7 linked regions of the Coturnix japonica genome follow. The protein of the gene in region 1 interacts with the protein of each later gene in a pairwise test. Links are inferred from orthologs where the notes say so. Each region holds a gene or a part of one and is shown in the gene's direction. Other genes may lie near its edges. The genes, in order: EFHC2, EDC3, TSSK3, NCDN, CLIC3, SPG21 and COPE.

Region 1 (3,880 bases):
TTCTCCCTAACTCATGCTTTGTTAATAGGCAGAGAAGAAGTACTTGCTGTGTCAGAATGGATCTGCTGGTGTATGGAGCCTTCAGTGGAAATCAGATGTTTTTGCCCACAAATTTCCTGTGTAGAACTCAGCTCGACTCTAGTTATTCCACATTACACCTAATAAACACAGAAAGCTCCCTCCCATTCTTTCCAGCTCTTTATCAGTTTACCAGGGAACAAAAGTAATGATAATAAAGGGGAACAAAACAAGAAAGAGCAGCTTGCTAGTGTCCAAAAAAGAGGGAGCAAACCACCCGTATTGGAAACCTTGCAGTGTCTGCTTTGAAGGATGCTGCTCAGCCCAGCCTTTGTTAACCTGAGCAGGGTACGGCTGTTGATTTTTATGGCATTAAAAATAATCAGTTGTAAAAATAATAAGTAATGTGGTTTTTTTTGCATACCACTGCCTTTGCATTATAAGCAAAATCTAAACTAAGGTAGGGATTGAGCTGTTCATTCAAGGACAGCTCTCCTTCCTGTGTCATTGGGCTTACAGCGCCATTGAGGTTTTCACCTTCAGTGTGCAGTAGTTTGTGTATATGAGCAGTGAATGTTATGAGCCAAAGGTTAGCTGCCTTTCAGATTCCTCACTCCATTTCATATTGGCAGAGTAAAATAACTAGTCAGCCCCTTTCAGGTTTTGCTGCTCCACTGCTTTCACATTTCCCAGAATATTGAATGTGTATTATATTATTCTGGAGCACTCGAACATCGCTATGATGAACAACATTTCTCTTGGCCAATTTTTATTCATGATGGTAATGCAGTGTCGTCTACACTTTTTGGGAAGCACTGATTTAAATGTGTGTGTTCTAATTAATGTTGTTTTCTCTTCAAGGAATCATTAAGACTAGAAAAGACCTCTAAGATCACCCAGTCCAACCAGCAGCCCATCACACCATGCCCACTGCCCACATCCCTCAGTGCCACATCCACACGGCTCTGGAACACCTCCAGGGACAGTGACTGCACCACCTCCCTGGGCAGCCTGTGCCACTGCATCACTGCTCTGACTGAGAGAGAATTATTCCTAATATCCAAACTTTCCAAATGCAGTGCTACATTACTGACATATCTGTTCCAGTGATGCTCGGAGAATTATACTGTCTATCCTTTCCATTGGCCAGGTCCTTTCTGTGCTTTCCTAGCATCGGTTCTTCCCCCTTCCTCATGGTACACCAGCCCCAGGCTGAAGGTTGGGGGCACAACTCAGTCGCTCCAAAGCTTTTCAAGGATTTGAGGGAGTGAGGAAGGGAGCAGAATAAGAGGAGCTAATGGATCAATATTGCTGCTCATGGAAGAAAGGGTTTGTGGTGCCGTCTCCTGTTTTGGCTCTTCCTTTTAGTCTGATCTGTGTGGAGCTGCTGCCTCTGCGTGAGGGAGCACGCCTGTAGTGCAGGTTGCCCACTGGAAGGAGCATTCCCACAGGCAGAACTGATGCTCACTGGAGCATCAAGCCAGGATGGCTTTCTTTGCAGTTGGTTGTCTTTAAGCACTCCATCTGTAATTGCCTGAAAAACAGTAATAATGTAAATAATAATAATAATATTAAATTGCTTCAGAGGTTGTCTTTTGAAATAAGGCCAGATAGAATGAATTTTCTGTCTTTTGATTCAGCTGCAGATTCCCAAAACTGAAGTGTATTCAGGAGTATGTATTTTGCACTCTGCAATGCAAATATAAATGAGGTCTTCAACATAGGTTATGACAGCAGACTGTTTTCTAGGTACTCTTGAAGTGTTTCCATCTGACCTTTAGGGTTCTATAGAGGAAGCTTTTCCCCCTCTACCGTTTGCATTGTTCCCATGGGTGACTTGCTTCCTTCTTCCATAGTCCTTATTGCAGGGAAGAAAAGGGGGGACAACAGCTGGTATCATCCTATTTCTCAGCCTGGCTATGTTAACAAAATGCCTTTCCATTTTGATCCGTAAGACACAAAATTGACTGCTGAAATAACGTCACTTCACATGCCGTGCTCAAGTTGTTACAGGTTTACAGATAGTATGAAAAGTACTTATAGAAAAACTTCTATGTGATTTATCCCCCTTGCCTAGCTAGATAACTCTTATGAAGTTAAAACCACACATTAAAATGTCTTTTTCTCTCTTTCCTTTGATAGTTAGGGAAAGAGAAGTTCCACAAATCGCAGCTCTGGGGCTACTGCAATAATGTTGCTATGCTGGTTGGGGAAGATAAACCTGGAATAGGAGGTGAACCACTACCTGGACAGAAGCTGAAACCTAAATCCAGCGTGTTTCCTGCAGATCTGGGATGTGGTGTTCCTGCCTGGATAGCATTTGACAAAAAGGTATGTAGAAATCAGGATCTGTGCGTTTTTTTATGAACAGATACCATAATACAGAGGTGAAATTCAGACAGTCAGATTAGTTTTTGCATGGAGAAATGTTCTTGTGTAAACAAAAAGGGTGGAAACTTCTGTTTTTTTTCCTTAATATTTGTATATTGTATAATTGAGGTAGATGTAAGTTATACAGCAACGTACACAAATATTTCTGTATTGGGATATGTCTCCTACAGGGCATAATACAAATAAGGGGGTAGTTAATATATACCCATTTAAAATAGTGATAGCAAATAACTGATTTGCAGCATATTCAGAATGAATGTACTTCTCCATTTCTTTGTTTTTCAAATGATCAAACAAGGAAATGTGTAGTTAAAGGAATGTAAGGGAAGCCTCATTCCAGGAGAAAATCTGCATGACCACTAACCACAGTGCAGTTCTGAGGATTAGAATTCCCCTATCTAGTCTTGTTTGCTTGCTCAAAGTCCTGTTGACTTTGTTCATGTGTGGGGAAATAGACAGTATCTGTTATAGATGCTGGGATTTAAAATTAATACATATATTTATTTGTTTCATAGGAGTGTAATGGCACCTCTAAAGCTAGAGAGTTATCAAATAACTGTTATCTAGGATGATATGTATTTTGTAGCATGCTGTCATTACCTTCCCTTTTAAAATTTACTATAAATGCTACTTGGCGATGGTTTATTTCTAAAGCAATAAGCCTATAATCAGAGAAGGAAAATGATCCGGGAAAAGAAATCATTCAGCAAATTGCAGAAATGTTGCATGACAAAATTATTAGGATATTTAAATACTGAGAAGAATGGCATAATTTTTGTTTTAAAGTAAAAGTCATGCAGATAATTTCATCATAATTATCTATTTGTCTCCTTGGCAGACCAGAACTACTGCAAGAAAATGTAAAGCTTGAATAGACAGATATACATTATATCTGAAGTCCCTCGTATTGCTTGCCTGCTTTTCACCAATGTGCTCAAATGTGAAGTGGTATAATGTGCCTAAGTGTTAGGGCCAGCCCTGCACATGCTCTGTCTGCACCCCTTTTTTGATATGAAAGTGTGCATTGATTTCTTGGGGACATACACGTTTCCAGGATTTGGACCCAAGATTATGAAATAAATGAGTTAAGTAGAAAGTGAGGGGAACTGCTGGTAAAATGAGTTAGCTGGCTACTGTCTTTGTATTCCCACACAGGGCAATCAATGCAGGACAGGAGTTTATGGGTTTAAAATTAGACTCTGGAGGGCTCATGTCTTTTATTTTAATTATAGACAGTTAAAGAGTACTACCCAATTAATTTAACCTCCAGGTAAGAGCCTGAAATGGCACTATGCCTGACAGTGCTGCAGTTTGTGATGCAGCTTAGTGGACTTCATGAGAAATGAACAGGTGTTTATGTTTTTAGATGTACTCTGCTTTCTTACCCATTTTTCTTTCTAGCTCTACAGGGCAGGCGTAATACTAAATATTAAGTAGGTTAAGAAATAGTTTTTGTAACTTCATATGCCTA
Region 2 (3,880 bases), on another chromosome or scaffold:
GCTGAGAACAAAACCTCCTGAACACAATCCAGGTGCGGCACAGAAATACTGAGGTTTTTATTAATACATGTGATTTCAGCTGAATGTTTTGGTATCTGGAATGCATGCGCCAGATTATTTAAGTCCTTCTTTTTCTTGTTTCCACTGTTAATTGCACCTAAAGAAACCTCTAACCAATCCCGTGTACAGTGTTGGTTGTTTTTTTGTTTGTAGAAGTAACTGGAATGTTAAATATCTGAACGACTGGTTTTCTTTTCTTGTTTTTAGGGCAGGTGACATTACTGAGCTGAAGATTCTGGAGATCCCAGGGCCAGGGGACAGCAGACAATGTGGGGACTTGCAGCAGGCAGACACAGGCATCCCTGGGGTTGGTTGCCAAGTAGGGCCCAGCCAGAATGGCACTGGGAAGATGTTTAAGAAGCCCTACTCCAGCAGTGCCCCACAGAACATCCCCAGGAGGACAGACATGAAGAATCAGGATATTATCATCTCCCCACAGCAGCAGTGCTCCAAGAGCTATATGGATCGGCACATGGAAACGCTGAATCAATCTAAAGGCTTTCGTCGAAGGCATAATTCTTGTGAGTCTGTTTGTTCACCTGTAACTTTCCTTCCTGCCTGGGTTACCACTGCAATATATGCCCTTGTTCAGCAAGAATATTTCAAACCAGAGTTTTCTTTACTTGCTTTTACACTTGTGTTGCCACCAAAAAGGTCTGGGAAAGAGAAAGGTAAACAGTGAGGAGAGAGTTCGGAACACGTGCTTCAAAGTATTGCAAGTATGGATCTTCCAGGGGTCTTGCACTTGTCTTAAATTCCTTCATAGTGGTGGTGTGATCTCATGCAGAACTTAATGAGAATGTTCATGCAGCCAAATCTGTCTGTTATAGCACATGATCAGCTACAGATCAAGAGCATGATGGATTCCTTGGCTTCTGCAGGGCATTCTGAGTGGGAGCCCGAGGCAGCTTTTGTGTGCTGCAGGTTGGGAGGATTGTGAGGTGCTCATGGTGTTGTTACTGGCCCATAAAAGCTAGTATGAGCTCTTCTTCCCCCTTTTCTTTCTGCTGGTGTGAGGTTAGAGGTTGGGTTGAGATGAGAATAGGAGTGAACAGATGTTTGGGGGGGGACAACAGGGAAAAAGACATGTGGACACAGTGCAGAGGAACAACAGGTGCTGAAGAACACAGGTGCTACTCATTACACTCTCCAGCCCTGTGGGCTGGTGGTCAGGAGGAGGGGCAGAGAAAATATCCAACAGCTTGTGGGAAGTTCTGCTCTACTTGTTAATGCAAAACAGAAAGGGCAAGTTGTATTGTGGGGTGTGAGCTGAATGGAAAGATCAGTTGCACTACAGTTCTGCCATGTTTTACTGTTGTTTAACGCTGCCCATCCTTGTTCAGTGTGAAGAACAGCCTGTGTGTTCTGCTTCATCAGCATCAAATGCTGCAAAAGATAGGACTGGATGATGTTGGTTAGAATGATTTCCCAACTCCTGTTATCTTTCCTTAGTGAAAACAGCCCAAAAGACAGCCTCATTTTTTCCTCTAAAAGGAACCAGAACCAAATTATGATATTGTGAAACTCTTATGGTTATACATGCTTTAACTGAAACCTATTACAGCATTGCCCTATGAGTAATTACAAGTGCTTTTTGCTGCATTGTTAAAAACACAACATCATCTAATGAGAATGAGATGCACTGATTCAATCCTTACACCAAAGCCAGACGTCCCTATTCTAATTCCTGTTTAAAAAACTCCTCAGCCAGCTCTAATGCTGTGCCAAAACTGGGTATGTTCTTTGGTTTTCACCTTTTATTTATTTATTTTCTTCCATGAAGCCCTCTCAGCTATATATATCCACATCTTCATCATGCAATTATTACAGCATCAGGATATACGACTTGATTTTTTTCCCCCCTTGTTTTTATGCATGGAAAAGAAACAAACTCACAGGACCAATTAAACAAGGAGATCAAAGGCTGTATGTTGTCTGAAGATGATGTGAGGGGGAGGGCATGTTCTCCTTGGTGAACTTAGCCACCTTCAGGCCTTTCTGTTTCCCTTCTACCCTCAGTTGTTTGCAGTAACTCCTGCTTTATTTAGTCTTGCTGGGCAGTGCCTGTGGCCAGATCACCTCACATAACAGCAATCTAGTGGGTCTGGGGTGTGCAGTGAGGGCTTCAAACTACTTCAACCCACCAACAGCTTGCTTCAGTTTGACATAAGCACAACAGTGGGTCCAATTTTCTTTTACAGACTCTTTTTAAAACAGGTTGAGCAAGGTGCTAGGAGTAGGTTCTTATTTGCTTGGCTTCATTTTCAGCTCAATGAGGGAGAAAAATTGAACTCTTACCCTCTGGAATGTTATTTGGAGAGCAGGCTAAATAATGTATGAGTCTCTCCACAGTGTGATGGAGGTAGTCGTGGCTACAGGAATCAAGGCAAGGATGGGCTGAGATGTCATCTAGCACTAAGTTGTACTGTGCCCATGCTTAGTATGGCTCCAAGTTGACCTTTTGCTGCCCCTTAGTGTGCCAAGTCAGGGACAAAGTTCTGCCTTTGGAGTCCATGTGTGACAGCAGTTGATAAGCACTGAGCAGCAGCACAGATTACATGTTGCACAACAGGGTATGTGCTGTGCTGGAGCGGGGCTGTGCATGCCAGGGCTGCTGCTGAGAGCTGCAGGGGTCTGCCAGGAAGGCAGCCAACTCAATAGAGGCTTTACATTTTGCTTGTGTGCTATACATAAAAGATTTTTCTTCTAAGAAACAAACCAGAAGCCTGGGAAGTATTGTTTGTCTTTAGAGGGAGGTGTTTTTCTTTGCATTGTCAAGCTGCTAACTTGATGTGGAGATGTGCTGTTCTTGTTAATATTCTGTGCACATATGCACGCAGAGCAGAGGCTCTGAGAGTGGCTCTGAAAAGAGCTGAGCTGAAAGCTCTTGAGTTGCTGTGGTTGATTGGCAGAGGATGGGGATCAGGCTGTGGAAGCAAGCAGGGCTGTGAATAGCAGCTTTCAGGAAAGGGCCGGGGATAATGTCACACCAGCAACATGGAAGGCAGTTGGTACTTCTCCTGTTAGCCTGAGCTTTCCCTTTCCTCCCCTTGTGCAATTTTTCAGCCCTTTTCCTTCGATGGTGCCAGCTTGCCCATCTAGAGAGTAAGAGGAACACCACTTAACTTTGCTTGGAGCGGTAGGAAGCCTCTTGCAGCCCCTGTTAGTGGGTGGTTATGCAGTCTATAATAAGACAGCCTGTTGTGGGGTCAGCAGTATTTCAGGGCTGGCATCCATCGGTGTGGATTAGAGAGCTGCCCAGCACAATGCTGGCACGTCTCGTTTTGATGAGGTATGGTCTTGGCTCCCATTCACGGTGTCTGCAGGGGAGCCCGAGGAGCTTTCCAACCATTGTTCTTGCAGTTTTTCTAATGCAGTTTTTCATTCAGTCAGCATTTACACGCTGCTCACATCAGCTGCCTCTGTCCCCTGGATCTGCTGCATGGCTGGGCTGCCCATCCCCACAGTTTGCTTTTTGGGTCATCTGAGGGTAGAGGAGAGAGTAGTTTGGAGAAAAACCTGGCAGTGAGTGTAAGGACTCTTGTTGGATAACAGGAACAGATCGAGCTGCCCTAACATCTGACAGTCACACAAGAAATGAGCTTGTTTTCTCATTGTGTTCAGTGCAAGCTCTCGTTTATGTGAACTTTGAGTCTGTTGCTTTGACCTGCAGTCAGTGAAACATTTGGAGACTTGGCCCGTTGTGTTGGCCTGGGTTTGTGTTTCTTGTGCTGCTGTTAGCAGCAGTGTTGAATGCAATGTCTGCCAGCTCCATGCCAAGTTGTGTACAGCTTTGGAGTGATTTGCGTGTTAACTTTGG
Region 3 (3,913 bases), on another chromosome or scaffold:
CGAACGGCACCGGAACCGCTGCGAGAGCGCGGGGTGAGGTTCGGGTTCGGGTTCGGTCCGGGGGAACGGCGGCACCGCGGGGCAACGAACGGAGACCGGACCGGACGGACACGGAGCGGAACCGCCGCCGAACTCCGCCCCACGGGACGCAGCCGGTTCCGGAACCCGAACCGACAGCGGCCAACGGCACCGAGCGGAACCGCGGGACGGCCCAAAGAGCGACGGACACGGACAGACACAGACACACACGGACACACACGGACACACACGGACACACACGGATAGACACCGACAGACACACGGACACAACCGACACGCGGTTCCCGCAGCTCCGGCCGCCGCCGCCCCGGAGCCCAACGGCCGCGCTGGGGCTGCCGGCCCCGGGCTGAGTCAGTGCCGCCAACCGAGCGCCCGGCAGCGCCAAGTGCGGACACGGCCGCAGCCCCGCCGTCTCGTACCGTACCGATCCCGCCCCGCCCGGTCCCGCCGCTCTCACCCATCGCGGATCCCGACACGGACGTTCCGGCGGCGGCCACAATATGGCGGCGGCAGCGGGAGGGCGGGGAGCGGCGGACGGCGGCCGAGAGGGACCGCGGCGGGACGAGAGCGGAGAGCAACGCCCCGAACGGGGTCACGGGGCGGGGCCGGGCTTCAACTCGCGGCCGCGGGTCCCGCGTGGATCCTCGTGTCCCGCCACGTGCCCACGCGCCGACACGACCCCCCCCATTGCACCCCCCAGCCCCGAGCTCCGTCCCGGGCCGAGCTGAGCCGGGAGCGGCGGCCCCGGGAGCCCACGGGACGCGTTGGGCCGCACGGCCGGACACACAAGGAGCAGCAGGCGGGGATCGCGTTAGGATGGGCCTTTCTTTACAAAGTGCATAAACATCACGGGCCGCTCAGGTGCTGCGGGGCCGGCAGTTCCCTCCCATGGCGATGAACACGTTGATGGGGATGTGCGGCAGCGTCAGGCGGTGGTTGGCGGGACAGCGCCGCAACTGCCTGCGGGGAGACAGGGGTCAGAGGGACGGCACAGCACGGCACAGTACGGCATAGTACAGTACAGTACAGCACAGTACAGCACAGCACAGTACAGCACAGTACAGTACAGCACAGTACAGCACAACCTGCAGCATCACAGGAGCCCCTTTGGACCCTCACCTGCCCGCAGTCCACGCTGTGCCCACCCGTTGCTGTGTCTCCAAAGCTGCGGCCGCACTACAACAGTCGCCCGCCTCGATGGGGAACCTCCGGGCCCGCGGCGCTTCCTGGGAGCTCATGGCCCGGCCCGGTTTTCTCTGCACAGGGAGAAGCAGCTGGGAGCTGCAGCGGGGCCTGGCTGCGATCCCGGCACCGGCACCTTCCTGCTGTGAAGGAGCCCGGCCTGGTTGGGCTGCAGGCGCCGGAGCAGCTGGACACACTCAGCTCAGACGTGAGGCCGCGGTGGGTCGGTGTGAGCACAGCTCTGAGCTCATGGGCGCAGCCTGGGGTCCCCTCCCTGCAGCAGCAAAGTGTTGTGTGAGCAGCAGCTCCTAAAGCCCCCCCGCCACACCCCGATGAAAACGGGAGAGGAACAGAATGGACCCTGTGACCCCCCTGTACTCACGGTGCCCACCGAGCAGGTCCTGCCCAGCACAGCCCAATTCCCCCCTGCCTGGCCGAGCTGTCGCCCACTTTGATGCACCTCCGTCATCTGGGATTCATGCAGCATCGGCTGCATCACAATAACACGCCCATGCTACAACAGGCGCCTCGATGCCCCTTCCCACCAGGGCAGGAGCAGGGCCTGGTGGCTCTACACGTGCCAACAGGGAGCACGGGGAGCCCCTGGCTGCTGCGATGCTGTTGTCGAGTTGCTGGGGGTAAAACTGAGATTGAACGGCCCCGATTTGTGAGAGGACATGGAGGAGTTTTTGCTCGCCAGCGGATACCAGCTCGGCCAAACCATTGGGGAGGGAACGTACTCCAAGGTGAAGGAGGCCTTTTCCCAAAAGCACCAGAAGAAAGTAGCAATTAAAATCATTGATAAAAGGGCGAGTCCAGAAGGTAAGAAGTTGCCCCTGAAGAGCTCCCAGGTACCGACCCCTCCTTGGAAGCTTTTAGTTCCAGGCAGAAAATGAGTTTCCCAAACTTTCCACCCAAGAGCAGGAAGGGCAGGGAGGTGCTGGGGGCAGGGAGGTGCTGGGGGCAGCTCGGAGCAGCCAGGCCATGGGGTGTCCATCCGGCTCCTCCAGCCATAAGGTGGCCAAAAGCAGCACAGCTCAGACCCCTCCGACAAGGGCCCTGCTTGGAGCCAGGCACCCTGGCACAACCCTTCTTCCTTCCCACTTTGTGGCCGCAGCCCGGTGCGATGCCGGGGCTCAGCAGCTCAGGAACTGAGTGAATTTTCCCCCTCTTGGCAGAGTTCATTCAGAAGTTCCTGCCCCGGGAGCTCCAAATCATCGAGCGCCTGGACCACAAGAACATCATCCACGTGTACGAGGTGCTGGAGTCGGCGGAGGGGAATATCTGCCTCGTGATGGAGCTGGCCGAGAACGGGGACATCTTCGACTACGTGGCACACAGGGGTCCCCTGCCCGAGCCCTGCGCCAGGGAGCTGTTCTGCCAGCTGGTGGAGGCGCTGCGCTACTGCCACGGCTGCGGGGTGGCTCATCGCGACCTCAAATGCGAGAACGCGCTGCTGCAGGGACACACCGTGAAGCTGACGGACTTCAGCTTCGCCAAGCAGCTCCCCGTGGGCAGCCGAGAGCTGAGCAGAACCTTCTGCGGCAGCGTGGCCTACGCGGCCCCCGAGGTGCTGCAGGGGGTGCCCCACGACAGCTGCAAGGGCGACATCTGGAGCCTGGGCGTCATCCTCTACGTCCTGCTGTGCGCCCACCTGCCCTTCGACGACACCAACATCCCGCAGATGCTGTGCCAGCAGCAGAAAGGCGTCTCCCTGCCCAGGCACCTGGAGGTCTCCAGGCCGTGCCAGGACCTCCTGAAGAGGCTCCTGGAGCCAGACATGGTGCTGCGGCCGTCGGTGGAGCGGCTCAGCAGACACCCCTGGTTGGCCGGACCCTGAGGAGCGCTCGGCTGCTCCCCCCCGGGGACAGATTGCTTCGAGGATGCCAATAAATTTGGATGTGTTTCCCACGTGTTCGGCCTCACGTGTGCTGCCAAGGCAGAGCTGAGGGCTGCTTCACTTTAGGCCATTTTTACCTGCCCCCTCCCAACCCCCGGCCTTCAGCAGGGAACAGAACAGACCAAGCAGCCCCATGTTCCCACCCCCTGTAGGCAAACTTCCCTTGGGATGAGGGGGAGGAAAGCAGAAACATAAAGCAGTTGATCCCCTTGAGGCAGCTGCCCCCAGCCCAGGGCAGGGGAAAAGGAAGGAGGACACAGTGGTGAGTGCGGAATTCCTTTAATTGCTGTTAACTGCAAGTCTGTAAAAGGTTTGGAGAAAGTTACAAAACTACAGATGTTAGAATTGTTCCTGGTTTTCCACCCCAGCTACAAAAGGCTCCGGAATAAACAGAGAATATTGCACAGACAACCAGACGGTCAGTGGGACTAAAGAAAAACAGGAGACATGAGAGCAGCGCGGCCCAGAGCTCCACATCCAGCCTGGGTCACCCTGAGCCCAGGGAGCGCAGTGCTGAGCAGCCGCAGCTGCAGCCCCACATCTGAATGTCCCCAAATGGGGGGGGAGAATATCAAGTTTTCCAAGAGCACCTACACTAACGCAATCCAGAAACAAAACCCACAGCTCAGATGAAGCAGCCAAGGAAGGGGCAGAAGAGCAAAGGTAGCACATATAAAACCACCCCCCCAAAGGCCAAACAGCCCCATTAGGGCAACCTGCAATTCATGACACTAAGAGTGAACTGCCCCAGAAAGGGGCGGTGGGTCCAAAGGGAGCATTGCAAGCAGCTGC
Region 4 (4,680 bases), on another chromosome or scaffold:
CCCATATGAGCACACCAATTTCTATGCACCTCTTGGTTTAGTTTTGCTTCCTAAGTGATACAAGACCAAAATAGCAGCAATTCTAGTGAAAATAGTGTCCACGTAAGGATAACTATGTCTAATATCATCACATTTGTTTTCATACGTGCATTGGCCTTCATGGTTTTAACCTATTACATGCAAGCTTCCATGTAAGAAACCCATTTAGTGTATTTACTTGAGCAAGAGGCTGGTTACTCAAGTTTGAACAGGAAATATAAGAGCAAACATAAATTACCCATAGGCAAATAGACTATTGACACACACTGTCTGCGGAGACTTTACAAACACAGGATGCTTCAAAACACTCTTACCTTCCCAACCTCCTCCAATAAATGCTCAAATGAAATTACTAAGCAGAGTCTCGTTAGTTCCTTTTTGGAACAAGGGGCAAATCCTCATCTCAGATAAAGCAGACAAAGATACAATACACAATACAGACAAGGTTCCACGCAGAACACAATCACCTGTTGAGGAGCACAAGGCACACAGGCAGGTGCACAGGTAAAGCAGCTTCAGGCTTCTCAGTTCCCTTGCAGGTCTTCCCCAGAAATATTGTAGTAGAAATGGAGCATTAATGCTGAGCTTGGCTTCCAACCTCTTCTCCATGGCCTTTGTGGGGAGCAACGGGGGTTCTGGAAACATAGAAGATATCCTATGGACATTGGTGTGCTCCTGCAAGGGCTCACACAGCATGATGAACAGCACAGGGTGTTTGTAGAGGAAAAGGAACAGCTAATCTTATCAGCTGAGCACAGCAGATAAGCAACCATCCATGTCACAGTGCTAAAGAGACCTTTAGCAGCACAATTCCCAACTACCGAACTACAGCACAACTTGTGATTCCCCACCTTGATTCTATCGCTTTCAGCAGCAAAACACCAAACAGCACCACATCCAAAGCTGCATTTGGGCCTTTTTTGGCTCAAATAGGGTGATGGATCTTCAATTAGCTCCTCCAACACAACACACACATTGACAAACACACATTGCAGTGATGTCAGTGCTCACAGCGGAGCTGCTTGGTGCCAGTCACTAACAGAGCCAGAACACAGCAATGCTGAGCTGTATGAAGATAAGGGCACGTTCTGCTCTATGGGCACAAAGCAGAAAGCACTGGGTGTAAATGTGGAGCCTCAGATGTCCCTGAGACCCCACAACCAGCTCTAAGCTGCGATACATTACCTTCATCAGGGATAAATAGTGCCTGTTTGCAGGGGTAGCAGAGCGTTATTAGGCACAAGCTGTAAGCAGCAGCATCACAAAACTGACTATAGGAACGACACCTAAAGCTCGTTATTAGCAATATCCAAACGGAACCCACCCCACCGAACCCGAACCCCGCACCACGTACCAGGCCCGCATGGTGTCCACTCCTCACGCCGGGCGGCCGAGCCTCCAACGGGCCGAACCGGGGGTCAGCACAGCCCCCAACCCCGCATCCATAGCGGCTCAGCCCGGAAACACAACGACCCCTTCCGGATCCGGAACGGACCCACCGGGAGAACCGAGCCCGGTACCGTCAGCTCCGGGCTGAGCTGCTCCGCTACCGGCTGGAGCTCGGGGAGGGGCAGCTCCGGAATCACGTAATAAAGAAGCGACCCATTGGTTAAAGGGGCGGATCGCGTGTGTATGGCGGCTGGTTCCGTTCGTTGTCCTTAATATATCGGTGTGGAGCCGAGCGGGTCGTTATGGCCGAGATACACGGAGCTGCGACGTTAAAGAAGTGCATGGAGGTGCTAAGGGATGCTAGGAACGACAGCGAGCAGCTGGCAGCACTGCTGATGGTAAGGACGCATTACCAGGACCCATAGGGAACACCTAAAGCCATATTGAGCCTTGTTGTTATTCATTGCTTTCCCTTCCAGGTGACTAAAGCGGTTAAAGCTGGAGATCTGGACTCTAAGACCCGACGTCAGATCTTCGATGCCATCGGCTTCACGTTCCCCAACCGGCTGCTGAGCTCCAGTCAAACCCCACCAGGCTGCCCTGAATACATGTTTAAAGCGCTGGGTCTCACCCTGCTGGGTTGTTTCTGTACCGAACCGGAGCTGGCTGGACACACACAGATCCTGAACAAAATCCCGACCTTCAATAGCGTCCTGCTTGCTCCCTTTAATCCAGACTGCACGTCTATGATAGATGATGCGTATCAGTGTCTGACTGCTGTTCTGGCCACTCCCAGGGGTCCCAGGGAGATGGTGAGCAAAGGAGCGGTGTCTGCTCTGTGCCAGGCTTATATCAATGGTGGTTATGGCTCTGAGCGTGCCCTGGAGCTGCTCTTGGGGCTGCTGGCTGTATCAGAGGTGAAGTGCTGGCAGAGGGATGCCCCGCACCTCCTGGCTGTGCTGGGGAAGCTCTGTGAGCAGTTTGTCAAGGCTGAAGATGCCACCAAGTTTGAGCTGTGTCAGCTGTTGCCTCGCTTCATCCCCCTCTCACCACCACTTGCTGAGGTCTCACAAGGCTCCGAGTGCATCCAGCAGCTTTACAAAGGGCTGGCTGATATTCTGGGCAGTAAACTCAGCCAGTCACAGAGGGATCCTGCTCTGAAGCTTGCTGCCAGCATCGTGCAGGCCTGTGGGGCAGAGTGGATCCCAGCAGGGAGAACTGGCAGCAAGTTCCTGGCCTTGCTGGTGAACTTGGCTTGTGTGGAGATCCGCCTAACCCTAGAGGAGCCCAATCCCATGGAGGTGGAGGGGAAAAAAGAAGTGATAACGGCCTGCTACGTCCTTATCGAGATGGGGATCCAGGAGTGTCTGAAAGGAGAGGAATCGCTGCTAGATGAAGCACAGAGAATGCAGCTCATGAGGATCATGGAGGAAGCATTTGGAGCCGTAGTGTTTTACTTGAGACAGGTAAGGAACTTTCAAGCAAGGAAATGATGGCTTTTCACTGTGGGGAGGCTTTTAAACAGCTCCTACAGTGCATAAACTGGGTCTTGCTGGCCTCTTACCCACATGTGGTTAAGAACAGCAGGATGCACCCAGGCTGATAGATCACAAGACAGAAAATTAATAACTCAGTGATTACTGTGATTTTTATATTCCATCCTTTTCCTACATCAGAATAAGAAAATCAGCCACGGAAGTCCAGACTTGCTCTAGCAGCTCGTGTCCATAAGCTGAATAGACCAAAATGTGCATTTTGGCCCACTGTGGTTTTCATCTTTTTTCTATCAGCTGCTTTCTTCTGTACCCAGGTGAAAGAGGAGGAGCTACAGGATCCTTTCATATTCGCTTCTGTTCGGATCCTTGGAGCCTGGATGGCAGAAGAGACATCCTCCCTCAAGCAGGAGATCTGTGAGCTCTTACCTTTCCTTGTTCATTATACCAAGAAGCTTTTCAAAGAGGGTGGCCCAGCAGAGAATCTTCCCCAGGCAGCTGGGCTGGTCGGCAGTGACAGCTCCATCTTAACCCAGGATGCTCTGAGGTGTGTATTTTAAGTACAGAGCTGATGCATTTCAACACAAAATGACACTTTTTCCTGCATCCTGCATTTAGGTCAAGTTCTTGTTGATCCTTTGCTGTGAAAGAGGCAACTGGAACTGCCACAGTGCAATGCAGCTGTCCAAGCCTTCTGTGTGTGACTAATGTAAGATGGCAGCTGCACACAGAGACTGAGAGGCAGGGAAAGACTTGTGGAAGTTGTGTGTCTAGGCTTTAGCTACAGCAAGCAGGGAAAATAATAGAGTCTTTGTAGAAGCAGATCAGCCTACGTGGGCTCTACTGTAAGATTTCAGTACATTTCCCTCAGGCATAAGGAAGTCACCACTGTGTTACTGATTGAGCTGATTTTGAGAGTAATTTCTCCTTCCCTTTCTCTCTGCAGTACCAATTCTATGGCACTTTCCCCCCCCCCGGCTGATGTAAATCCAGGGTTTAGACCCCAACTCACTGTTCTCTACCTTTTGTTTTCATTTTTTTCCCACCTTACAGATTTCTACTACCTGGATTTTGCCATTTAACAGCAGAGGACAGACCCAGAGACATCCTCATCTCAGAAGGGGCACCAGCACTACTGTGTGACTACTTCCTGCATCACTGGGAGGTGCTGACCTCTCAGCCTGGGTCCCTGACGAGCACTGAGATGAGTCTGCAGACTTTATGTGGGATCTTCCTTAACCTGGTTGTGACTGCACCAGACCTCATCAGGTAACGGAGCCACAGAAGCTTGTCTTATGAAGGACAGGGATGCAATGAGAGATGAGCTTCCAGGATCCTTTAAGACACTTGTACTGAAAAAATGATGCCCCTTTTCTTAGTGCCAATCTCATCACATTCTTTAATGCTGCATTTATCACATGTGTCTGGCTCTGCTCAGGAGGTTTCTCAGGGTTTCCTTTCTTTCTAGGCAGGAAAAAGCCTTCTCTTCTTTGATGGACACATTGCTGAAGTCTCTTCCCTTCCTTCTACCTCAGAAGGATCATTTGGTTCTAGCAGCCAACATTGCCACTCTGGGCTTGATGATGGCAAGGATCCTTTCAAGTTCAGCAGGTAAGAAGCACTGGTAAGCAGCATGGCAAAGCTGCACATTGCTCTGCATGGACTGAGGACCCCAGAATATAAGAAGAACAGACCCAGTTTCATGTAGGGCTTTTGTCATTGGAAGTGTAACAAAAATCCCAGAGGGTCCCTCCTTTGG
Region 5 (4,543 bases), on another chromosome or scaffold:
TACAGCATCACCTTGGGCTAGGGCAGGCACTCTCAGGACGGCGGCAGCCCTCCTTTCTGCAAATGGTCCTGCCACCTGCTCACCCATGGGGGGCTGTGCCCGACACCTCCAGACTGCAGCTTTTCAGCGGCTCACAGCCACATCACAGGGGTGACTGCTGAGCCTGGACTGCTAACCTGGCCAACCCCCTGCACCACAGGGCTCCCACCCCCTCCGAGGTGGCCATGCCCTGCTGCCCATACTGTGCTGCCTGTGCCCACCTCCCGCCCAGCGTGCAACGGGGCAGCTCCAGCACCCCGGGCTCACTGTGGTGGGGGCAGTGCTGCGGGGGTGTGGGATGGGGCTGCTGCTGCCCCTGCTCGAGGATGGACCTGGGGTGGAAGCAATGCCACCTTGCCCTCTGCTGCGCCCACAGACCGCCAGTCCAGTGTGCCACCTACTAGAGACTGTGATACAATATACAGTATTTTCAATAGGGGAAAAACTGGGGGGGGGAGATAAGCTCTATTTTCAGATTTTTCAGACCATATATTTTTTATGGCATGCTGGAAACTAGCCAGTCCCTGGGTGGTGCAGGGGGCAAGAGCGAGCGCTTTGGGTTTGCCCTTTGCCACCAGGGAAAGGAGGGACCGTGTCGCCTGTAGGTATCCAGGTGTGGCCTGGGAGTGGGGACAGCTCAGCCCCCTCCGGGCACCAAAAGGTGGGCACGGCCCCCTGCCCTGCTTCATTCAGGGCCGTGTGCTCGTCCCACAGCCGCCCTGTTGCTGCACCTGTGGGGCTACTCGTGCAAGGAGACACCTGCGCTCCCACCCGGTGCCGTCCCGCCGCCCTTGGGTGCTCGGCAAAGCCGTTGTGCCCCTCGCAGAGAACCCAGCAGAGCCTGGGGGCCGCGTGCCCTCCCTGCTCCAGGTGCGGGAGGGCCGTGCAGAAAGGTGCCCCACGGCAGCCGGGCTGGAGCGGCACATTCATTGCCCAGGGCGGGGTGCCCGCTGCCTTAACACTGTTTGCTTTCCTGAGTTTGGCCCCGCTTCCCAGCTCGCCTCCCCCCGCACCGCCGCAGGAGCAGCTCCTGTGCTATGCACGGCACCGAGCGTGAGGCACCCCGGTGGGTGAGGGTGCTCCGGAGGAGCCTGTACATTGCTAGCATAAAGAAAAAAAGAAAATGAAATGTGAAAATAATGATTGTTTTAAATAAAAAATAACTGGAGCCAGCGAGGCTGGGTAGTGGGAATTCCAATTCTGCGGAACGGGCCGGGGGGGGGTGGCTGGGCAGGGGGTAAGGAGCGGCTCACAGTGCCCAGGGTAGGGGCACGGCGCGGACATCGCCTGGAGCCGGTGCGGGAATAGCGGGTTGGGGGGGCACGGAGCGCCGAGGGGCACAGCACCCCCTGACACACACACACACCTCGGGCAGAGCCGCCCTTTGCCGCTCCGCTGCGGTCGCGGGGCCCCGCGACGGGGCGGCCCCTCTGTGCCGTGGGGCCACGCGTGGGTGGGAGCGGGAGCACCCCGGGGAGGAATGTGGGTTGGGAGGGGCCGCAGCTCCGGCACGGGCACTCACTGCACAGTCACCGCTCAGCCACCGCCCAGCATGGACGAGAAGCCCCAGATCCAGCTCTTCGTCAAGGTGAGGACCCGACCGGGGCCGGGGGTGGCCGGTCCAGGGGTCGCGGCTGCCGCTGCCTGCGAATGCCGGGGCCGCCAGCATCGCCATCAGCGTCCGACCGCTGCCTCGGCCGCCGCGGGGGCTGCACCGGAGCGTGGCGGTTGAGCTCTGACTTTGCCCGCAGGCGAGCGAGGATGGAGAGAACATTGGGAACTGCCCCTTCTGCCAGCGCCTCTTCATGGTGCTGCGGCTCAAAGGAGCTCCCTTCACCCTCACAACCGTGGACACCAAGAGGTGAGCGGTGCCCCGCGACGCTCTGCCGGTCTGGGGGCGTGGGGTGGGACAGCCCTGCCGTGGGCACCCGGAGGGTGCGGGGAGGTCTCGCCACGTGGGAAAGGGGCCGAGGACACCTGCTGTACCCCCTGGCTGCCCACCATTACTCTAAGGAAGGGCGGCGGTCACTTCTTGGGAGGAGCCGCCATAGGCAAACTCAGGGCAGGAACAGCCCCCGGAGAACCTCATCCTTTTGCCCAGGACACGCCGGGTCCCGGTGCGCTGTAGATCCCCGAGCAACGCGGGCATCAGCAGCTTCTTCTCTCCTGCAGGGCACTGGATGTGCTGAAGGACTTTGCGCCCGGCGCTCAGCTGCCCGTTCTGCTCTACAACGGAGACTCCAAGACCGACACAGTCACCATCGAGGACTTCCTGGAGGCCAGGCTGGCCCCCCCCACGTCAGTGGCCGGCGCTGCCCTGAGAGGGGCTAAGGAGGGGTGGAGGAGCTGAGGAAGGGGCGGGAGGGGCAGCTCCCAGCCCTGCTGTCTCCTTCCCCAGCTGTGCTTATGTCGCCGCAGGTTCCCCAGCCTGGTCCCGCGGTACAAGGAGTCGAGGCTGGCTGGAAACGACATCTTCCACAAGTTCTCCACCTACATAAAGAACCCGGTACCTGCTCAGGATGAGGGTGAGGAGCTGAGGGGCAGGCTGTGCCGTGCCGCGCCCCGTGGGGGGCGGGGGCAGAGGCAGCGCCAGCCTGGACCAGGCAGGCACGGTGCAGGCACAGTGCAGGCAGAGCAAGGGCAGGGGGCTGCCTGCTGCCCTGACTGCACGCTGCTGCCGCCCTACACAGCGCTGCAGCGGAACCTGCTGAAGGCCCTGCTGAAGCTGGATGAGTACCTGAGCACACCCCTGGAGCATGAGCTGGCCCGTGAGCCCCACCTCCGCACCTCCCAGCGCCGCTTCCTCGATGGCGACCACCTGACGCTGGCAGACTGCAACCTGCTGCCCAAGCTCAACATCGTGCAGGTGCATGGCTGTCCCCACCACACGCTGCCTTTCCTTGCCTTGCCTCCTTGGTGCTGCCTGCCCCACGCTCTCACCTCCTCCTGGGTGCTCACCTGCCACCTGCCTGCAGCAACTTCCCTTTCCCCTGTTCCATCCCCTGGCTCGCTGTACCCCTCAGGTGGCTGCCTGGCACCCCACAGCTCCAGCCCACACCCCCCTCTATCCTGTGCTATGCCAGCGATGTCCTCTTGCCCCATGCCATCCTCCCTGGCTCCTACCAGTGAGCACCACCAGCTCCCAGCTGCAGGGCCCCCTGAGCACGCCATGGGCACACAGCAATGGGCTATTTCTGCCCACAGATCGTCTGCCAGCATTACCGCCACTTCGGCATCCCCAAGGACCTGCATGCAGTGTGGCGCTACCTTAATAATGCTGCTGAAACCAAGGAGTTCAAATACACCTGTCCCAGCAGTGAGGAGATTGTGCAGGCCTACCGCTCCGTTGTCCGGTCCCCACAGTGAGCCGGGCAGATGCCCAGGTGGGCACAGGGCCAGGCAGCAGCTCAGCACCACCTGGTCCTGCTGCTCCCATCGCCATCCTGCCCACACGTGCTTGGGAGGGCAGAGCATCAGCACCCAGATTTTCCCAGCTGGCACCCAAGGTACCTTGCGTCAAGCCTGCCAACACTTTCTTGCTTCTCATGTCACCCTCCCTGCCTGGCCGGGATACCCCTGACCCGCTCTGCAGTCCCTCAAGCATTAAGGATGGGTACAGGCATGGGCACTGCTTGTAACAGAACTGGGCAATGCTGAGGGGAACAGCAGGGGCTAGGGAAGAAAAGCTGCTTGGAGGGCAGCACACTGCAGTGGGAATCCCTGCAGCCTCCCACCACACAAGCTGCCCTAAGTGTGTCTGTGGCCAGGACAGCAGGCACTGCAGGGTGTCCATAAACAGCATCACAGGGCGAGGGGAACTGGCACAGTCACAGTAAAGCCCTGGGAATGGAGCTGGGGGGGACACTGCAGCACCCTGCCCTGTCACCACTGCCCCACCCAGGGGAGCAGAGGGCAACGTCCCACCAGGACTTGCTGCTAGGAAGCTCTCTAGAGCAGATTTGGGACAGGGATGGGGATGAAGTGGGAAAAATCCAAGCCATGTATGTATCAGAGCATTTGGAAATCAATAAAGGCTTTGCAAGCAAGACAAGAGTGTCTGGAGTGACCAGCCACTGTAGCTGCCCCCTGCATATGACTTGGAGAGGCTCTCACCAGTCACCCACCCATCCACGGGTACAAAACTGGTGGGACAGTACATTCCTTGGAGCCCTTGAGCTCCCAGATTGAGCTGAAACTGGCTGCAGAGCAATGGAAGTGTAGAATGAAACGATGCACACACCATCATGCTGGCTGGGTACCATCTTTACTGGCAATAAGACAAGCACAGACAACCTTTATAAATTATCTCTCAACGCTCTTTAAAAAACCCCAGCAACTCATAGCAAGTGGGGTACAGGAGTGGCACCTGTCAGCAGGGAAAAGCTGCAAGACAAAAAGCCACCACCTTGTCACCGCTGGCTCACCTGCCCCAGAGCTGTGCCCAGCACAGCCAAGGAGCTGCTGCCCATCGAGTCTGCCTGGCGCTGCCTGCAGGTCCTGCCTG
Region 6 (2,969 bases), on another chromosome or scaffold:
TTTCATTTGAAATTCTTGCACAAAAGTCAGTGCAAGAAAAGGGAAGACTTAAAAGAAAGCATCTTAATTCTGATTGTTACGTCTTGTTTCTGTTTTAGCTTTTGGTTAATGCCTGCTTTTATGCTGAAAAAAATTGTCCTTGGCAATTTTGCATCTGGTCCTGTAGACCCTGAAATGGCCGATGGGATTGATTTCATGGTGGACAGGGTAAGTGGCTGTGTGCTCCAATGGCTGTAATGTCAATCTTTGTGAGATATTCACTTAGTAGATGGGAGGTTGTAGATATTTCTGCTGCTTTCTTCATTTACTTACCCAGAAGTGAACAGTGGATGGATTCTCAGCAGGTGTTGGCTGCAACAGCTCTTGCAATTTAACTGGTGCTGTGATTTGTCTACCTTATTGTTCCATTTATCTATGTATATTGGAAGAGAGGTGGCTAAGAAAGAGATGGAAATGGGAATAAGTGCTGAGATAGTAGGCTATGCTCTAGAGGCAGGAACAATTAATTAAACGTTCTAAGTATTTGTCTCATGCAGCGAAATATTAAGATGGAACTATGATCTTCATCTGAAGTGCAGTCATGTTTCCCTTTAAAACTAAAGAGCTGTCTTCTCTTTGGCTCTGCTGTTATTATTGCATTAACTTCCTGCAGTGAAATATGTTATTAATCACAATTTGTCTCTACTGAAAGCTGGAGAGTCTGGGCCAGAGTGAGCTTGCCTCGAGACTTACCCTCAATTGCCAGAACTCTTATGTGGAACCTCATAAAATCCGAGACATCCCCGTAACTATTATGGATGTAAGTTTATTTCAGCTTAATTTTTTAAATACTTTTTTTTTTCTCCCAAACATCATTTCCTCCTCTTGGAAAGCAGGGCCTGGATATTGTGTTCACAACTTAATAAATATTTGCACCATCTAATTTTGTATTTAAATAGTTTTTCTACTGACTGGATAAGACAGCGGCTCTTCTGTGTTGAATTAATGGCTGTTACTGCACAGAACACCCAAATGTTTATCTATCAGTGTTAGCTTTCTAGTCACTGATGCTTAACTTGTTTGCTTGTTTTCTGTTTCATTAAAACTGCTCCACAGACAAGCTGGCAACTGCTTCTAGAAACAGGGTCTGTCAACTTGATTTAATAAGCAAAATCTGACTAGACTTAGAATTAACTGTTGTCACTTGTTGCATAGGTGTTTGACCAGAGTGCGCTCTCAACCGAAGCGAAAGAAGAAATGTATAAACTTTATCCTAATGCCAGAAGAGCTCATCTCAAAACAGGAGGCAATTTCCCTTATCTCTGCAGGAGCGCTGAGGTCAATTTATACATTCAAGTGAGTGTCTGCATTCAAACCTAATCTACAAATGTGTTGCTGAAATAACAGGAAACTTTTTCTGAGCTTGCTTTTTTCTTTAACTGCCTGATGTTTTTACTCCCATATCACTGATAGAGAAGAACTGTGCTGCAGGTTTATCAAGGGTTGGTTTTGGAGGCTTGGTTGCTACCTGTTCCCTCAGTCCTTTGTCTGTACTCTTGTATTCCAGGCCAACAACTTCATCCTCACTGAAACATTACCCATAAGGAATGTGTCTTAATCTACACCGGTTTCACTGTTATTTTCTATATCCAACAGATTCATTTACTGCAGTTCCATGGTACCCGGTACGCAGCCATTGATCCCTCTATGGTCAGCGCAGAAGAACTGGAAGTCCAAAAGATCAGTCTTCATAGCAGCAGTGAACAGGAAGAGCAGTAGGTTTCTGACTGCCAGTGAAAACGAGGAATCAGTTTGGGCCTCCTGCGTACAATCACCTGTTCCTACTCTGCCTTTCTCCTTGTGTTAGCCGATTATCACTGTGTGATTCCAGCAGGATCAAGTCAGTGAGCTACTCGCGGACAATAAACACTCAACAATGTGACAGGGCATCCGTTTAATTTTTAGTCTTTGAATTCAAGAAAGTATCTTTGAAGACTACAGTTTTAAAAACAAAGACATTTTTGCTACCAAAGTCTTCACTATCACGTTCTTAAACAGAACAGTATTTCTTTTTATATTTTCATTCAGCTGTATATATTGCCACATGCAGGTTGTGTACTTACAGGTTGACATATATTTTTGTTGAATATTTGATTTAAAAGTTGTTTAAGTGCCAATGATGCCATCACTTCTTTGCTCCGTATGTTGTGTTGCAAGTTAGTTTCCATTTGAAATTTTTAACTTTCTTGCTAGCTGTTAAAAATGGTTTTCAATAAAACTCCAATTTCAGCAATTGCCTCTTCTACTGATTGCAAGAGAACAGCAGCGTTGCTTTCTGTAGTCTAGGTTTATCTCTACGGGTACCTTTTAGACGTTAAGAAAAGCCGAACCTTCTACTTGAATTTGCCTCTTATGCAGGTTTGTTTTGTTGTTGGATTTGTTTCTTTGTGGTTTTTTTTGTTTGTTTGTTTTTTAAGAAAAGGCTGACTAGGACAAAGTGTGCAAATTTAACAGTAACATTCTGATTCATTGCAATACAGCCATTTTTTCTACTTGAAACACTCTAAAAATACAAAAGCTGATGGGTCAAATCTGTGTTTATGAAAACTGTCCTTAGGAGAGACTGTGTAAAATAATCAATGCTAACATCTTGGAGTTAAAACAGTAAAATCCATGCAGCAATGCTGTGCATGAACATATCAGCCCTCAGGTCACCTTAACAACTTCACTCTTTGTCTCTTAGATCACAGATAACTCCATGTCCATCTAAGCTTTTCAAGTGACAACCCAGAGATTAAAGAAGTGACCCACCTGAATTATATGTGTTACACCGATCAATCTCGATGGTCTTCTCCTTAAAGACCACAGACCATGTAGTCACCTCAACTTTTCTGAACAAACTCCCATGCTAAGAGGGAAGTTGAGAAAAAATCTAAGACACAAGCATTAGACCAGAATCAAACACAAAACAGGTATGTAAAGAATGTTTC
Region 7 (4,363 bases), on another chromosome or scaffold:
ATGGAGACATGAAGAGTCATTCTGCTCCCCCCCCAGCCACAGAATCACAGAATTGTAGGGGTTGGAAGGGACCTCTAGAGATCATCGAGTCCAACCCCCCTGCCAAAGCAGGTTCCCTACACCATATCACACAGGAAGGCATCCAGGCAGGTCTATCTCCAGAGAAGGAGACTCCACCACCTCCCCGTGCAGCCTGTTCCAGTGCTCCGTCACCCTCACTGTAAAGAAGTTCTTCCGCACATTCATGCACAACTTCCTATGCTGTACTTTCATCCCATTAACCCTAGTCCTGTCCCCACACACTACTGAAAAGAGACCAGCCTCACCACTATGGCTCCCACACCTCAGGTATTTATAAACCTGGATCAAGTCCCCTCTCAGCCTTCTTTTCTCAAGGCTAAACAGACCCAGTTCCCTAAGTCTCTCCTCACAGGGGAGATGCTCCTTCACCATCTTTGTATCCCTCTGCTGGACTCTTTCCCAGAGATCCCTTTCTTTTGTTGTACTGAGGAGCCCAGAACCGGACACATCCCACTCTGTGTTGTCTCACTCACCCAGGCCGCCCACCACCACGCAATCCTTCAATCCCAGCGGTTTCCCCAGCACACGGAACTGCTCAGCGATCTGGTAGGCCAGCTCCCTGCGGGGTAGGGCAGCGCTAAGCGGGGATACACCATCAGGGGACCCCCCCTATGGGTTCCTCCGTACCTGGTGGGCGTCAGAACGAGGCAGAAGATGCCGTAGGGATCCTCGGACAACACCTGCAGCACCGGCAGCACGAAGGCCGCTGTCTTCCCGCTACCCGTCTTAGCGCAGCCGAGGCAGTCGCGGCCTACACGGGAGACCCCCCCCAAAGTAAAGAACGTGAGCGATGGCGGATAATAGAGAACTGCAAGGAAGGGAGAACAAGAGACCAGGCTCACCCTGCAGTATGGGCGGGATACAGGCGGCCTGCACGGCCGTCGGGCGGCTCAGCCCCATCTGCCGCGCCTGCTCCACCAGCCACGGGGCCAAACCCAGCTCCCGGAACGCCGCCATCTTGCTCCTTCCTTAACACCACTGACTTCCGGCCTCCTTCGCGTTCTCATTGGCTGCCTCCCGCTTCCGTCGCCGTAGTGACGTAACATGTTTCTCGCGTGGCTATTGGCTGGAGCTGACATCTTCATGGACATGGCGGCTCCCGGCAGCCCTCGGGGTTCAGCTACTTCCGGAGAGACGTGTCCGGAGCGGCAAAATGGCGGCCGGGCCGGGGTCGGGTCCAGCTGGTCAGAGCGGGGAGGGGGACGAGCTGTTCGACGTGAAGAACAGCTTCTACATCGGGGCCTACCAGGCCGCCATCAACGAGGCACAGCGGATCAAGGTGGGGGTATCGAACGGGGTTAAACCCATGTTGGGTTTAGGAGGTTCCTGGGTTTAGTGCCCAGGTTCCTTAATGGAGCTGTTGTTTCTTCTTCTCCTTCCAGCCATCGAACCCCGAGAAGGAAACAGAGAGGGATGTGTTCTTGTTCAGGTCCTACATTGCACAGGTGGGTCGGATTTACAGCAGCACGATGTGACTGTAGGGCTCAGGTAGGGCAGGGTATGAACCTGAGCTCAATGCGACACAACCGAGTAATAAACACAACTGAGTAATAAATACTAGAGAAGCAGGAAACAGGTGCTGGAATTAAGAATAAAGGGAGGTTAAAAGGTGGTAGTTAAAGGTAGTTTGTAGAAAGAAGCAAAGGAAACTTAAAGAGTTTATGGAAACAAGGAAAGGAAACTTAAAGGTGGTTTATAGAAACAAGGAAAGGAAACTTAAAGGTGGTTTGTAGAAATGAATAAAGGGGACTTAAAGGTGGTTTGTAGAAGTAAGAAAAGGAAACTTAAAGGTGGCTTATAGAAAGAAGTAAAGGAAACTTAAAGGTAGTTTATAGAAATAAAGGAAACTTAAAGGTAACAAGTAAAGGAAACAAGGGGCCTGGGAGAGCAGGGAGGATGCAGGTAAGGAGTGAGACCTCATGGACGACATCAGGCAAGGAGGAGAACAGGTAATGTAAATACCAGAAGAGGAGTTGCATCCCCCTGATAAGAACAAGAGGGAGTCTGTGTGCTAAAGAACTATTGAATATAGATCAGAATTCTGAACTATTGACTATGTATTAGAATTCTGAGAAATCATTGACTATGTATTAGATGTACCTATATCTGTGTCATGATTTTACAAGTCGGGGTGCAAGTTTGGTGGAGCTATCCCCCTTGCACCCAGTGCTGGAATAAACGTCCCTGCTTTATAACCCATCTCTGGATTATAGAGTTTGATTCTGCAAGTCACTAGGTTTTCTGCTTTACCTTTAACAGAGAAAGTATGGGGTTGTGCTGGATGAAATTAAAGCCAATGCCAGTCCTGAGCTCCAGGCTGTGCGGATGTTTGCAGAATATCTTTCAAATGAGAGTCAAAGGTAAGTCTGAAAATGAGTTTGTTTCACAAAGAACGAGTTTCTAAGTGAAGAGTTCATAGAAATATGGTTTTTATAATGTCTGGCTTTGGTTTTGCCACAAAAAAGTAGGTTTTCTGATAGCGAGGCATTTTAAACACTTCTATTCCCTCACCCACACTGTTGCAGGGATGCAATTGTTGCTGATTTGGACAAAAAAATGGCAAAAAGTGTCGATGTGACCAATACCACTTTCTTGCTGATGGCTGCTTCAATCTATTTCCATGACAAAAATCCTGATGCAGCTCTACGTACTCTACATCAAGGGGAAAGTTTGGAATGGTAAGTATAACTCGATCTGGCCTCTCTGCGGTGTGTGTTAGCAAAGTCTCGCTCATGTAGGGAGAGGTGTAATAGAAATGCCCAGGATCTGGCTTGTCTCTGAAAAGCCTTGAAACCATTGAGAAACTCTTGAGAGGTTTCCCTTTCAAGTAGTGATGGATGTGGTGCTCAGTCTGCAGTATAAAATCTATTGCTCCCTTGTGAAACTTAAGAATCTGATTTATTGATCTGTGTGGATTCAGAATTGCTGAAGTGAGTACTATGGCTGTACACCAGGAGGGCAGCTGGGAGCTTCCCTGCTTTGAGTCCTGCTGTGAGCTCTGCTGGCTTTGTTGGCTGCCTGTATAGATAGCCCTGGCATGAGTAGTGTATCTGTGCTAAGCACAAGGAGTGATAAAACTCGTCATTATTACAATTGATTTGCTTTTATTCATTGCAGCACGGCGATGATGATCCAGATTCTTCTGAAGCTTGACAGGCTTGATCTGGCTCGGTGAGTAAGCTTGTCTGTGTCACTTTATTTCTGAATAGTGAGCATAAAGGGGTTTGAATCTCTAGGCCTGGATTTCTTCCTTTCCTTACAGAAGTAAAACAAGGAGCTCTTCCACAGCTTGTCTCAGTGAAACATTAGGAGGTAATTATGCCTCCTTACTAGTTTGCTATGGTTGTTTTTCTGTTGAGGTGAAAGAGCTTGAGAAAGGAAACTTCAACCTTCTGTCTGCATCTTAGAGGACTAAGACAGGCCTTGTTTTCCTTTTACACAACTCCCACTTTTGCATCCACAGCAAGGAACTGAAGAAGATGCAGGAGCAAGATGAAGATGCGACCCTCACTCAGCTGGCTACTGCCTGGGTGAACCTGGCTGTAGTGAGTATCCCTGGCCTACGATATCTGAGAAACAGCATTCAGACAAGACTCTGTGCTTAGTTTGTGATGGCCTTTTACCAAGTTACCACCATCTCATTAAACTTGTTCTTTTGGTGCCTGCAACTGGTTGGCAAGAAATTGTATTGTAATGAAGAGTTTCAGATCAGCCAAAAACACGTGTTGTCTGTTAAGTCCAGATGTCAGGTGTTTGAAACCAGTCTCCTAAGATTCAGTAAACTCCAAGGTATGCGTGCAGTAACCTGTTACAACAGTAACAGTAACCTGGGGCTGAGTTTTCCTTAAGATCTTATTTTCCTCTAGGGAAACATTCATCCTCTAATCAGTGCAAGCTGCTGCATCTGAAACCTTTCTAAAGCAGGAATGTTTTGAAAAGCCAGGTGTCTGTACCTGGGTTTAATTGTAAGATCTCATTTCATAGTCTTTTATTACGTTGTAATGTTCTTCCAAACATTAAGTCGGTGTTCTGAAGTGGTTCTTTTGAAATGTTTCTTGATCTTTTGATCATTTAAGTGCTTCTTAATATTTAATATTTTTGCATTCCTTTCATCTGTAGTCTTACAGTGATCTCTCAGAGGAGACTCTGTGAATGACAATAGCTCATTTTATAACCCTTCAAATTAACTTCTTGGCCCCTTTCTTTAGCCACAAAAACAGAATACAGCCTTCTTAGCAATACACAGTGAAACTGCATGCTTGTGTCCTTTTGCAGGGTGGTG

Evidence for each region.
Region 2: the proteins of EFHC2 (region 1) and EDC3 interact in binary tests that used the Homo sapiens proteins (3 or more experiments, as listed by UniProt). The link is inferred for Coturnix japonica from reciprocal best matches to the Homo sapiens genes EFHC2 and EDC3.
Region 3: the proteins of EFHC2 (region 1) and TSSK3 interact in binary tests that used the Homo sapiens proteins (3 or more experiments, as listed by UniProt). The two-hybrid records come from large-scale screens. The link is inferred for Coturnix japonica from reciprocal best matches to the Homo sapiens genes EFHC2 and TSSK3.
Region 4: the proteins of EFHC2 (region 1) and NCDN interact in binary tests that used the Homo sapiens proteins (3 or more experiments, as listed by UniProt). The two-hybrid records come from large-scale screens. The link is inferred for Coturnix japonica from reciprocal best matches to the Homo sapiens genes EFHC2 and NCDN.
Region 5: the proteins of EFHC2 (region 1) and CLIC3 interact in binary tests that used the Homo sapiens proteins (3 or more experiments, as listed by UniProt). The two-hybrid records come from large-scale screens. The link is inferred for Coturnix japonica from reciprocal best matches to the Homo sapiens genes EFHC2 and CLIC3.
Region 6: the proteins of EFHC2 (region 1) and SPG21 interact in binary tests that used the Homo sapiens proteins (3 or more experiments, as listed by UniProt). The two-hybrid records come from large-scale screens. The link is inferred for Coturnix japonica from reciprocal best matches to the Homo sapiens genes EFHC2 and SPG21.
Region 7: the proteins of EFHC2 (region 1) and COPE interact in binary tests that used the Homo sapiens proteins (3 or more experiments, as listed by UniProt). The two-hybrid records come from large-scale screens. The link is inferred for Coturnix japonica from reciprocal best matches to the Homo sapiens genes EFHC2 and COPE.

The regions. Positions count from the first base shown.
Region 1 is NC_029516.1:100,084,567-100,088,446, forward strand, and holds part of EFHC2 (EF-hand domain-containing family member C2), read left to right. Parts: intron 1-2,160; coding exon 2,161-2,349; intron 2,350-3,880. UniProt on the Homo sapiens protein: Microtubule inner protein (MIP) part of the dynein-decorated doublet microtubules (DMTs) in cilia axoneme, which is required for motile cilia beating.
Region 2 is NC_029525.1:1,776,067-1,779,946, forward strand, and holds part of EDC3 (enhancer of mRNA-decapping protein 3), read left to right. Parts: intron 1-267; coding exon 268-581; intron 582-3,880. UniProt on the Homo sapiens protein: Binds single-stranded RNA. Involved in the process of mRNA degradation and in the positive regulation of mRNA decapping. May play a role in spermiogenesis and oogenesis.
Region 3 is NC_029538.1:4,558,693-4,562,605, forward strand, and holds TSSK3 (testis-specific serine/threonine-protein kinase 3), read left to right. Parts: upstream 1-1,590; 5' UTR 1,591-1,603; coding exon of another isoform or gene 1,604-1,639; 5' UTR 1,640-1,640; coding exon of another isoform or gene 1,641-1,690; 5' UTR 1,691-1,806; coding exon of another isoform or gene 1,807-1,898; coding exon 1,899-2,043; intron 2,044-2,399; coding exon 2,400-3,061; 3' UTR 3,062-3,135; downstream 3,136-3,913. UniProt on the Homo sapiens protein: Serine/threonine protein kinase required for spermatid development and male fertility.
Region 4 is NC_029538.1:3,821,461-3,826,140, reverse strand, and holds the start of NCDN (neurochondrin), read left to right. Parts: upstream 1-1,707; 5' UTR 1,708-1,730; coding exon 1,731-1,826; intron 1,827-1,907; coding exon 1,908-2,894; intron 2,895-3,238; coding exon 3,239-3,468; intron 3,469-3,974; coding exon 3,975-4,190; intron 4,191-4,389; coding exon 4,390-4,532; intron 4,533-4,680. Other genes in the region: KIAA0319L (dyslexia-associated protein KIAA0319-like protein homolog), read right to left, coding at 507-648. UniProt on the Homo sapiens protein: Probably involved in signal transduction in the nervous system, via increasing cell surface localization of GRM5/mGluR5 and positively regulating its signaling. Required for the spatial learning process.
Region 5 is NC_029532.1:97,693-102,235, reverse strand, and holds CLIC3 (chloride intracellular channel protein 3), read left to right. Parts: upstream 1-1,504; 5' UTR 1,505-1,519; coding exon 1,520-1,627; intron 1,628-1,790; coding exon 1,791-1,900; intron 1,901-2,211; coding exon 2,212-2,337; intron 2,338-2,457; coding exon 2,458-2,564; intron 2,565-2,729; coding exon 2,730-2,905; intron 2,906-3,243; coding exon 3,244-3,405; 3' UTR 3,406-4,087; downstream 4,088-4,543. UniProt on the Homo sapiens protein: In the soluble state, catalyzes glutaredoxin-like thiol disulfide exchange reactions with reduced glutathione as electron donor.
Region 6 is NC_029525.1:16,060,016-16,062,984, reverse strand, and holds the end of SPG21 (maspardin), read left to right. Parts: intron 1-98; coding exon 99-207; intron 208-691; coding exon 692-799; intron 800-1,194; coding exon 1,195-1,335; intron 1,336-1,635; coding exon 1,636-1,758; 3' UTR 1,759-2,268; downstream 2,269-2,969. UniProt on the Homo sapiens protein: May play a role as a negative regulatory factor in CD4-dependent T-cell activation.
Region 7 is NC_029543.1:2,774,396-2,778,758, forward strand, and holds the start of COPE (coatomer subunit epsilon), read left to right. Parts: upstream 1-1,194; 5' UTR 1,195-1,234; coding exon 1,235-1,360; intron 1,361-1,463; coding exon 1,464-1,526; intron 1,527-2,340; coding exon 2,341-2,441; intron 2,442-2,606; coding exon 2,607-2,759; intron 2,760-3,198; coding exon 3,199-3,252; intron 3,253-3,544; coding exon 3,545-3,626; intron 3,627-4,356; coding exon 4,357-4,363. Other genes in the region: probable ATP-dependent RNA helicase DDX49, read right to left, coding at 555-640, 709-832, 924-1,038. UniProt on the Homo sapiens protein: The coatomer is a cytosolic protein complex that binds to dilysine motifs and reversibly associates with Golgi non-clathrin-coated vesicles, which further mediate biosynthetic protein transport from the ER, via the Golgi up to the trans Golgi network.